Linked DNA regions of Saccharomyces cerevisiae S288C. The protein of the gene in region 3 interacts with the protein of the main gene of each other region in a pairwise test. Each region holds a gene or a part of one and is shown on either strand. Other genes may lie near its edges.

The links.
Region 1: the proteins of APP1 (region 3) and AIM2 interact in a two-hybrid assay, tested with the Saccharomyces cerevisiae proteins (2 studies listed by BioGRID).
Region 2: the proteins of APP1 (region 3) and PIN3 interact in binary tests that used the Saccharomyces cerevisiae proteins (3 or more experiments, as listed by UniProt).

Annotation. Positions count from the first base shown.
Region 1 is NC_001133.9:51,195-54,362, forward strand, and holds AIM2 (protein AIM2), read right to left. Parts: upstream 1,402-3,168; coding exon 661-1,401; downstream 1-660. Other genes in the region: oleate-activated transcription factor OAF1, read left to right, coding at 1-513; ERMES complex Ca(2+)-binding regulatory GTPase GEM1, read right to left, coding at 1,607-3,168.
Region 2 is NC_001148.4:832,588-835,858, reverse strand, and holds PIN3 (Pin3p), read right to left. Parts: upstream 1,295-3,271; coding exon 647-1,294; downstream 1-646. Other genes in the region: NCA2 (Nca2p), read left to right, coding at 1-296; MAY24 (May24p), read right to left, coding at 1,614-2,031, 2,166-2,170; URN1 (Urn1p), read left to right, coding at 2,401-3,271.
Region 3 is NC_001146.8:445,675-449,885, reverse strand, and holds APP1 (phosphatidate phosphatase APP1), read right to left. Parts: upstream 2,276-4,211; coding exon 512-2,275; downstream 1-511. Other genes in the region: Rab family GTPase YPT53, read right to left, coding at 1-18; YNL095C (uncharacterized protein), read left to right, coding at 3,046-4,211. UniProt on the Saccharomyces cerevisiae protein: Mg(2+)-dependent phosphatidate (PA) phosphatase which catalyzes the dephosphorylation of PA to yield diacylglycerol. May play a role in vesicular trafficking through its PAP activity at cortical actin patches.

The DNA.
Region 1 (3,168 bases), on a different chromosome or scaffold from region 3:
AAACTGGACAAAAAGGATAGGCTATTAGAGGAATTGATGGCATGCAATCACGTTGCGAATTTTAGCGTTGAAGATATAGATGAGCTGAACCGTAATATCAAAAAAGAGATTCAAATTTCTTCAGGATTGAAGCCGCCTGTAAACACAATTGACTTAACCAACGGCGAACCATTCGGAAATGCTGTTCCTACCTTCACAAAGACATGGAGTTCATCCTTAGATAATTTAGAAAAACTATCATCGGCCGCTGCAGTTGGTCAGAGCTTGGACTACAACAGTGGTTTACGTCAGGGTCCTTTGGCGGGTGGTGGTTCAAAAGAGCAAACGCCAATAGCCGGGATGAATAACTTGAACAATTCAATCAATGCTACACCAATTGTCGATAACTCATCTGGATCACAACTTCCTAATGGTTTCGATAGAGGCCAAGCGAATAATACTCCTTTTCCAGGTTATTTTGGAGGTTTGGATTTATTTGATTATGACTTTTTGTTTGGCAATGACTTTGCTTAAAAATTTTCTTTCCAAACTCCTACCTATTCATTTCATCAATTAATTAATATTATATAGCCACGAATTTATGAAACTGACCGATAATATAAAGTGCTCAATATATATATATATGTATATAACGGTTAACGTAAGAAGAGCTCTTCCCTCTTAAACATTCGAAAAATGATTGAACCAGTATATTTGGTCGAGCAAGACTTTCTCCTTCGCATATTTTACGGCAGGTATGGATATATCGCCTCTTGCTGCAAACCCGTGAGCCACACCACTGAAGAGGTCTAACTGGTAAGTAGCGTGATTATCCTTTAATTTTTCCTCCGTTAAGTGTCTTAAGTTTGCCGGAAAGATGTGATCCTCTTCCGCTGCTGAAATCAATATTGGTTTCTTGCTATCAATTGCTTCAATTTCCTCGATGCTGACGAAAGATGGATGTGCAATGGCTGCAGCATTGGCAAGACCCCCGTCGCCACTAATGTGTTGGACGGCAAACTTTGCACCAAAACAGTAACCCACAACGCCAATAAACTTTGGGTCATATTCAAGTTTTAACAACTTCATGAATCCATCAACAATTTTCTTGGTGACTTCAGGAGAATGTCTTTGAAACCAGGCATCACGATCAATTGGTTTGTCCGATGAGATAGCATCGCCGAATAAAATATCGGGAACAAAGACCATGTACCCAGCACTAGCAAATTTGTCGGCCGTTAATAAAACATTGTTGAATTTATTGCCATACACATCTGTCAAGATAACTATAACTTTTTCCTTGGGAGATGTAGAGCCTGCTGCATAAGTATCTAAACCGAAGATTTCTTCACGACGACCCTTGGGTGTTCCATCGTGACAAACTCCTTCAAAGCAACACTTGCCAGGTTGATTAGATGCCATTTGATTGAAATAATTTTGTTCTGCTGTAGTTAGACGTAGTGGAAAACTTTAAGTCTACTGAGTCTTGAGACCTTATCACCCTTTGAAGGTTTCTTGCAAATGAGCGTGGTTTGGCATTTTTTATCGGAAAGAAAAAAAGGGCTCCGCCTTAGGCCAGATATCATAGAAATGCAACACTTCCCTAATATAGAAATTTGGGCATTAATTATTTTGAGAATTTTGATGATTTGAATAATTTCATTAACGTAAAGGAACATAGTGCTACGAATCCAACAGTGGACCCAAAAATGAGAGCCGTTTGTCTGTAGTCGACATCTTTTGCTGCTGTTTCTTCTGGCAATCCCGGAGTGTTTTTGCCAGGATCAAGAGCAGCTTCTGTGATTTTAATAAACAATTCATTAAGGGAACTTAGCCATCTGGATGATATGTGCAGTGGGTGGTTCACAAATAGCTCGTCTGCCAGTTCATCTGGTTGGATTTGACACCTTTGTTGCTGCTTATCCAAATCTGCCTTAGAAGCTACAAATACCAACGGTAGATCTTGTAAATGTGTGAATTTGTCTAGAAGCGAAACTAAGTAGGAGAATGATTCTGGGTCGCTGGAATCGTATGTTAGACAGATTACGTCACATTCTTTTAACTTATCCTTATTCTCTAGTATGGCGTATTCCTGTTCTCCAAGTTCTTGCAAAATCAAATAGTACTGTTTCCCACCTTTGAGTTCTAAACTATTGACTGCAATTCTTGGTTTGATTGTCGGAGAATACTCCTCCGAGAAAGATCTGCCCAAGAAGGCCTCTAGCAAAGAGCTTTTGCCGCAACATGGCTTTCCAATGACAAAGCAATTGAACACTTTTCTGTCATTGATATTGGATCTGTAAAGTTTCCCGGAACGGCGTCTCATTTTCCTTGGCTTGGTTACTTGTAGGGCTAGTCTTGCATCTTCCTGAAAGCCAAAATACACCAAGTAAGCGGTAGTTGTGCTATAGTTCAAGAAAGTCGTCATACTCCATTGTGCTAGCCAGCCTTGTAAGGTGATGCAACCCTTGTTGTTTACGACAGTGGAGAAGGGGAAATTCGTTGAGGTCCATAGTTTAGGCAGCCCTGGTGTGCACTTAAATAGACGATGTAATTCTTGATTATTCAAACCACCATCATTGTCGATATCAAACTTCAAAAAAATATCTACAAGAAATCTGTAGCCCTTGGGGCTCAATTCCACACTGGAAGTGTCAGGGACAACCAACCTCGGATGGAGAATTTTGTCATTAATACACAAGGAATCTGTGTAATGGAAAGTTCTTAGGATAGCCCATGTAGTTTCGTGTCTCCCCCTTTCAGCGTATATTTTGTTCAGTACAAGGAAACCATCTTTGGTGATGCCTTTTCCCGGTACGTATAGCTTGCGGTTAATGTACTCTTGATCGTGCTTGGAAATATCCAAAAGCAAATCTTTAATAAAATTCAGTTCGTTTACATCGATACTCTTATTGAAGCACTTTTTTTGTAAGCCCAAGATTTCGTTGTCATCTAAATATGAGTCCTGGTTTAAATCGCTTAAAAGAAAAATTCTTTTTAAAGCCATGACAGCCAATGGCTTTAGTTCACCTACCATGGCATCAAATAAAGGTGATATTGGGTGTGTTATAGCCCTTTGGCAAAGATAAAACGCTTGGTTAAGATCAAACTGTGTCTTGGCACTTGTCTTAATGCAAGTGTCGATTTCTTTAAACTCCATTAATATTGGGATAAATTCTTCATCCTCCA
Region 2 (3,271 bases), on a different chromosome or scaffold from region 3:
GGTCTAATGAAAAACGGTATAGGGAGCAAATAAGTATAAGTTTGAATAATGTGGAAAGAGTTTTGAATTATTCTAAACAAGGTGCGGACGCCGATGAGGAACACTTAAACCAGGGTCTACTAGTGATTGAGGTTTCTAACTTATACAAATTGGGAAGTTTTTTGATCCCGCGTTCAAGAAAGAAAGAATGGTTTAGGGACGTTGAGGAACTGGTGGATACCAATCTTGACTCCGGAGCTCATATAAATGTCGTCAACAGGATATACCACGTATATGGCAGGTTTTTAATCCATTAGCGTATAGCCTGCTGGGGAAGAAGAAAGGGAAGATATTGAATATATTCTTAATGTATTTTTTGTACAGACGTAAATATAAAGAAATCAACGCAAAATCGACGCCTTTTTACTTTTTATACTTTTTTACTAAAAAGACAGATTTTCTCGCTCATATCATAAGTGATGTACTATTATCCTCCATATACGATATATCTGTTTAAAAAAAAAGAAAAAAAAAGGTTACTTAAATTCATACTCATTAGAAAAAAATTCTAGGGATAACAACACCAAAGGTAGAACTTCGTTCAATTTATGAAAGGTTTGGCCATAATGGAGAACAAATGAATGAAGTATATAAAGAGAAAAACGACTTAAAAGATATTATTAACAATATCTGACCCAATACTAGCGCCTGCCCCAAAAATGGCGGCATTACCCAATTTGCTACCAAAGCTCTTCAAGTGGCTATGTGAGCTCTGATGTTGTTGTTGTTGTTGTTGTTGTTGGGGAGGAGGAGCTTGTTGCGGCTGTTGTTGAGGCTGCTGATAATAATTTGTGGAAGGTGGAGGAAATGGCTGCTGTTGATAAGATGATGCGGCACTATTTTGCGTGGGGATTTGTTGTAATTCTTGAGCTTTATACTGTGGAGGTGGTGGAAGATTGGATGGACCGTTAGACCCAGAGAAAGCTGGCTTGACATAGTTTGCTGGGAAAATACCGGTACGGCCATTACAGCTACCCTTGTACCACTCTGGAGATAATTTTTCTAAAAGTTGGACCTTGTCACCTGGTTTTAAGCCCAAATCACCATCTTGTTGAGGATCAAATTGATAAAGAGCTTCGACATATTCCAAGGAAGCTGGACTGGCGTTGCGGGGTGCATTGGCAGGATCCCATTTTGCCGGCAAGCTCTTATTTATTTGATCGTAAACGTCATTTGAAATGACATTTGACCCTTTTAGAAAATCCAGTTCTGTCCTAATGTTTGTTAAGGAACGATTAATCAATGAAGCAGACATTTTTGAAATATCAGATTGCCTTCTTTCCTAATGTTCTTGTGTTTGCGCCAATGTGGGCACTTTGCCTATTGTCTCAACCGATTTGAGGTTCGACTATATATGCAGCTTACAATATCCATCCCCGCCTCGAAGGAGGCTCGGTTAATCACGCTGCACGAACGAAAACAATAGTTAAAGAAACGTTTAGAACAATCTAGCGCTTTGAAGAAAGAGTATTAGGCTCTTTACGTGAAGGATGGCACATTCTCATTCAAAAGTTGCTGCTAACTTTTATCATCAAATCAGTAAACCCCTTCTTGTTTTTTCTTGACAGAAGCTTTCACATAACGGAACCAACCATGGAATAACTTAGCACCACATCGAAAAGGATTTGGACTACTGCGCAACAAAGTGGGACCCATGTAGACATAGAAAATAAACCAGATCTATAGATCGCACCTATTAAAAACCCCATAACTGTACCAGTCGTCAAGCCTTGAACGCCTCCGTATAAGACGTACATGACGAATATCCATACACTTCCAGCCTTCTTTCTATGGGTCAAGCTAGCATACACACCAGCAGTAACGTAAAATGCACCATTAAAGATCAAAGTCCAGTACAGCGAAAATTTCCAAATGTCAGATATATAGTATAAGAATGCAGTATTATACTTCGAGTTGTTGATGGGCCAGTATAATGAGGGGAATTTTGGCGTTACATATCCAACAGGTATATCGTTATTTGTTACGAATGATCTGAGCACAGGGAACATGCGACAGAGTAGTGGATGTTTTTATTGTTAGTTTTGTGCCTATTATTTTCTTAAGCCACAGGGAGCGATGCCTGCATCCAGCCGTGGCGGATATAGTCTTGGTAATGAATAACATACCTCATAATACGGCAGGAAGTTGGAACTGATCTTGTTGGCAGTTTTTATCTTATACAGAAGCGTCAAGAGTAGGAAAAGGTTTTATTATTGCATATTTATCAACTTTCAGTATGTTTCTTTTTTTCTTCGGCAATGAAAGAGAAAACAATATAATTGAAGAAAGAGGAAATAGTGTCCGAAAGAGATTCTGATATGTATTATAAAGAGAAAGACAGTTCAGTAACACAGAATCGCCATGCGTGGAGAATGGCAGGAATTTAAGACACCTGCAGGCAAAAAGTATTACTATAATAAGAACACGAAGCAGTCTCGATGGGAAAAACCTAATTTGAAGAAAGGCTCTAACCTAGAAAGCAATGCGAAAGAATCACAGACAGAGAGGAAGCCAACATTTTCATTAGAACTGGTTAATGGTTGGCACTTAATAATATACAACGATGGTACAAAACTTTACTTTAATGATGACTCTAAGGAGTTCAAAAATGACATCAGTCAAGAGGACGACAGCAGGTGTCGCTCATTAATCGAGTCGTTAGATAAGGAAAAACTGGTTCTTCTGATTGGCGTTGCCAGAGGTTACACTATGCGGGAGGAGGACATTGATAAAATCCTCGAATCTTGCAACGAAGAGATTCATCTATTTAAAAGAAATCAAGACGAAGTTGAGAGAAAAGATGAGATCAGCGAAGAGGCGGGTGACGTAAAATCCCCTTTACAGGAAAGCCACACTGGGCTAGTCAGCGGGTATGGTTCATCTTCGGGGGAGGAAGACGAAGAGGAAGACGAAGAGGAAGACGAAGAGAATGAAGAACAAATTGTAAATCAAGATATCAGCATTATCGATGATCTGAATCGTATTGATACAGATGACATTGACGAGCGTAATATCTTCTTCGAATTATTCGATAGGTATAAACTAGACAAGTTTTCCACGTGGTCGCTGCAAAGCAAGAAAATCGAAAACGATCCTGATTTTTACAAGATCAGAGATGACACAGTTCGTGAAAGTCTTTTCGAAGAATGGTGCGGCGAGCGCAGTGGCAATGCCACCGCTGAAGAAAGCGATAGCGAAGATAATAGCGAAGACGATAGCGAAGTACTAGAAC
Region 3 (4,211 bases):
TGCTGTATGTTTATCCATTCTACTTAACTTCGATGCTGAAAAAATGTAATAAATAATTTGAATCTAACTCTATTTGGTCAATATACGTGCATTCAGAAGGCCTTTCCCGACTTATAATATGACAATATTTAATAAATTCTACGGATTTATTTTATTTACATGGGAAGAGGCTTTGCAGTTTAAGGACCCCTTCCGCCCCGGAAATTGACATTTTAGGGTATGGTTGGTCACCAAGGCGTACGCGATAATCAGTTGGAATGGAAAGATAAACTGAGTTTAGGGTATTTTGTAAGAGTGTATTTGATCGGCAACCGAAGATTTTCTTTACTCTTGACTTCATAAAATTTACATATTTACATTTAGCCCTTCTATAACCGTTTTTTTAATTTCCCGATCTGATGAAAAGGATGCAACATCACTCTAAAACGTTGAAAATGGCTCCAATTCATAAGGTCACTTTAGTGTATACAATTTTTAAACTCCCTCCCGATGTATATAAATAACAGTGTATTTAGTTTGAATACTTCTCCCTAATTCTGCGAATACTGTCTTCCAAACTTAATGCCGGATCCGAAAAGAACATCAATGTGGTGTCTTGATTGCTCAATTTTTGAATTGAGTCCATTACTCTTCTCTTCCATTCATCTGCTTTTTTATCCATGAAAGCACCATACATGCCATAGTCATTTTGTGAGGATGGTACATAGTAAGTATTAGCGTCTAAGTTAGGTAACTGTCTGTTCGGCAACGGTGGTGGGGCAACTCTTTTAGCATTGTTCTCATCTTTATTACGGCGTGACATTCTTATACTTTCGGTTTGCTCTTCTGTCAACGATGGCTTTTGAGTGGAAGGAATGGGAGGTGGTGGTGGTCTTCTCCTGGTACGTACGGTAGACTTGGTCATTTGCATGGGCCGTTGTTGTAATTCGATGATATTGTTCACTTCATTCATAACTTCTTCATCATGCGATGGGACATCACTCATGGAATTAGAGCAACATCTTATATAAATAGCCAGAATCTGGTTCGGAAATTGTAAAGCCGTAGTGGTATACGCTTCTAAGTCATGTTCACCAGAATCACCGACCAAAATAAATTTTTTTTTGGGAAAATCCTTTAAGATATTTGCAATCGGCTGAATTTTTCTATTCGCACTTGAAGTCATGATAGTGGAAAAGAAATTACCAGAGTATTGTTTCAAAAAAATTGGACCCGGAGGAAAATTGGCGCAAATATATTGTTTCAAAAGAGTAAAAGTTTGGATGGGTGAATTAGAAACATAAAAGAAATCAACGTCTGCGACATCATGTAAAGTTTTGTACCAAAGAGGAACACCATCTATTACCCACGATTGAACATCATGGATGAAAACATTACGAAACATCGATCTCCTGTCACCCGTAACGCCAGTATGCTTGATGGTGTCGTCAATATCACTGATTAAACCAATACCGTAGGGCGAGACATAATTGGCCGGAAATGTTTCAGATATGGGATCTGCATGGCCTTCTATAGGGGTATCTAATGTAATATTAATCTTGGACGGTAAAAAATCTGTTTCTGCCTTGATTAGTAAATTACCATAAGAGTCCGTGGTACCAAAAAAGGAAGCCGTATCCCCTCTGAGCTTATCTTTGGGCAATAGGTCAACCACCACTGGAGTATTAGGAACTTTTTTGGACAGGAATCCTTGAATTCTCTCATTCAGAACATCTTCCTCTTGGATGCCCATATGTGAATACCTATTTTCGCTCTTTGAAGACAAAGAACTTTCTATACTTGATTGGGAGTCGTTTAAATCTCCAGAATCCTCTTCGAGATGAGGGGGAACAACAGGTGCAACATCGGCCTCCGCCGTTCCAGTTCTAAGATATTGTTTACAAAGAGAAAGCAACCACCTATTTCTCCTGCTTGTAGGATTTCCTGGATAAGAAACAGCACATCTGACAGTAGTTTCAAAATCTTTCCGAGGCGCACTCAAACCGTCAGGGTCAACCAAATTAGTTGTGGTATACGTTGGAAAATATGTTATCGTGGTATTATGTGGCAATTCCATAGGCAAGTCATTATAACCTTCGAAGGAATTCGTAGTGCTCCTGATGCCATCCATTGTCTTTTGAGAAATGGATGACGTCAGGTTAGGAATATAAACATCCTTTGTGGTTCTTATGAGATTCATAAACCGTTGTTTCTTACCCATTCGTGGGTCTCCAGAAGTAGGACCGCTAGTAGCAGCAGTAGAGGAAGAGCTTTCATCGTAACCTTGACTATTCATCTTTTTATTCCTTCTCCAAAGCAATTTTTTCCCCCTTTGACGGAACTTATAGCCAAGTTTCAATGTCCTTGTCTGTGTTAATGGTCCCAAGAAAAGACGGCGATTACTAGACAAACTCTTTATAGCCAACAAACCGACAGAGCTAGAGAAACATATGACACTGTTTATTGAAAGCCTTGTGCAACCCACTATTTGCGATATATATGCCTTAATGATGCTAAATTTTTGCCCTGGATCACGAATAGTATAACAGCTTCGTATACTTTATGTCTCGTGGGCATAAAAAGCCAAGAAAAGATACACAAACCAATCACAATGAACAAGCTAACCGTAAAGGCGTTGCCACCCTATTCTAATGCTTTATCTGTCCGAGAATTGTTGGTAACCTCGTTTGGAAAGTTAGACCGCGCCCTCATCATCATTTGCGCGACCACGTGACCCGCTGCGGCTGCGGTTTGCGCGAAGGTTACAATATCTTCCTACTCGATGACTTTTAACCTTTGGATCAAGAGCACAACGTTCTGCCTGAACTCTTATGCTCATTTTGTGCATACAAGTTGCCTTTTTGTGCCATATTAGGATATATTGCCTTCTGAATAAAACTATTCAATTCTCATCACTTCCGCAGTTAGAGAACGCTTTTATGGCATATTGTTACAAATCATCGCTAAAAAAGATATAAACAGTGACTAATTAGCGTCAGCGCAATTTTTTTGGAGAAGTTATAGAATCAAACAGAGAAAGGGATTGAAACCTCAAATTTTCATCAGATGGTGCACATTACTCTGGGTCAAGCGATATGGGTGTCAGTTAAGCCGATAATCAAGATTTATTTGATTATAGGAGTCGGCTTTCTGATGGCTAAAATGGGAATTCTTACGGTTGAAGCAACAAGAATTATTTCTGATATCGTGCTAACAGTTTTACTACCCTCTCTGTCATTCAACAAGATTGTCGCTAATATTGAAGATAAAGACATCAAATCTGTGGGAATTATCTGTCTGTCTGCCCTCCTAATATTTGGTTCTGGGTTCTTTTTTGCATACGTTGTTAGGCTATTCCTGCCTGTTCCTAAACAATGGTACGGTGGTATTCTTGCCGGTGGTATGTTTCCAAATATAAGTGATTTACCAATTGCATATTTACAATCTATGGACCAAGGGCTTGTATTTTCGGAAGAAGAAGGTAACAAAGGTGTGGCTAACGTCATTATATTTCTGACAATGTTTCTAATTTGCATTTTCAATTTGGGGGGGTTTCGACTGATTGAAAGCGATTTCGAGTACAACGACGATGAAAGCGCCGTTAGGGTTTCAGAAACGACAAAGACACAGCCCGCAGTAAGTGCAAACACAACTAATACAGATACTAGCGAGCGTTTCTTCTCAAACGAACAACAGCTTTTCAACAATAAGTACACCGCTCGCGATAGTCTCACTGAAGCTATAGGTACAAAGGGTGAAAACGCAGACGTACCACCAATTTCAAGGAGATCAACAAATAGTATAGCTCCCCTGTCACTACCAGACACTTCTTCGAATTCAAAGATTACAAAACCAGTTCAGGTGAAGGCAAGAAATACTATTGCGTGCACTCAAAGCGAAGAGTCACAGGCAACTCGTGGTTCAAATCCATTAGATAGCCAATCATCTGCTTCAACAATACATTCTTATAATACGTCAGAGAGTTATGAGAGTAGCATAGATACTATGAGAGCACGTAGAACCGCGAGCCAGCCGAGAGCTTACAATACTACCACACTCCTAGAAGAGAACTGTTTAGATGAAAAATGCCCAAAAAATATGTCTATGGCGGCATTGGAACCTATCCGCTCCATTGATATGCGTGCATTACCTTCTCAAAATATACACCATCTTATCAGAGAGTACTCCAACGTTGACCAGTATGGTCATCAAAGGAGGAATTCCAGTTTACG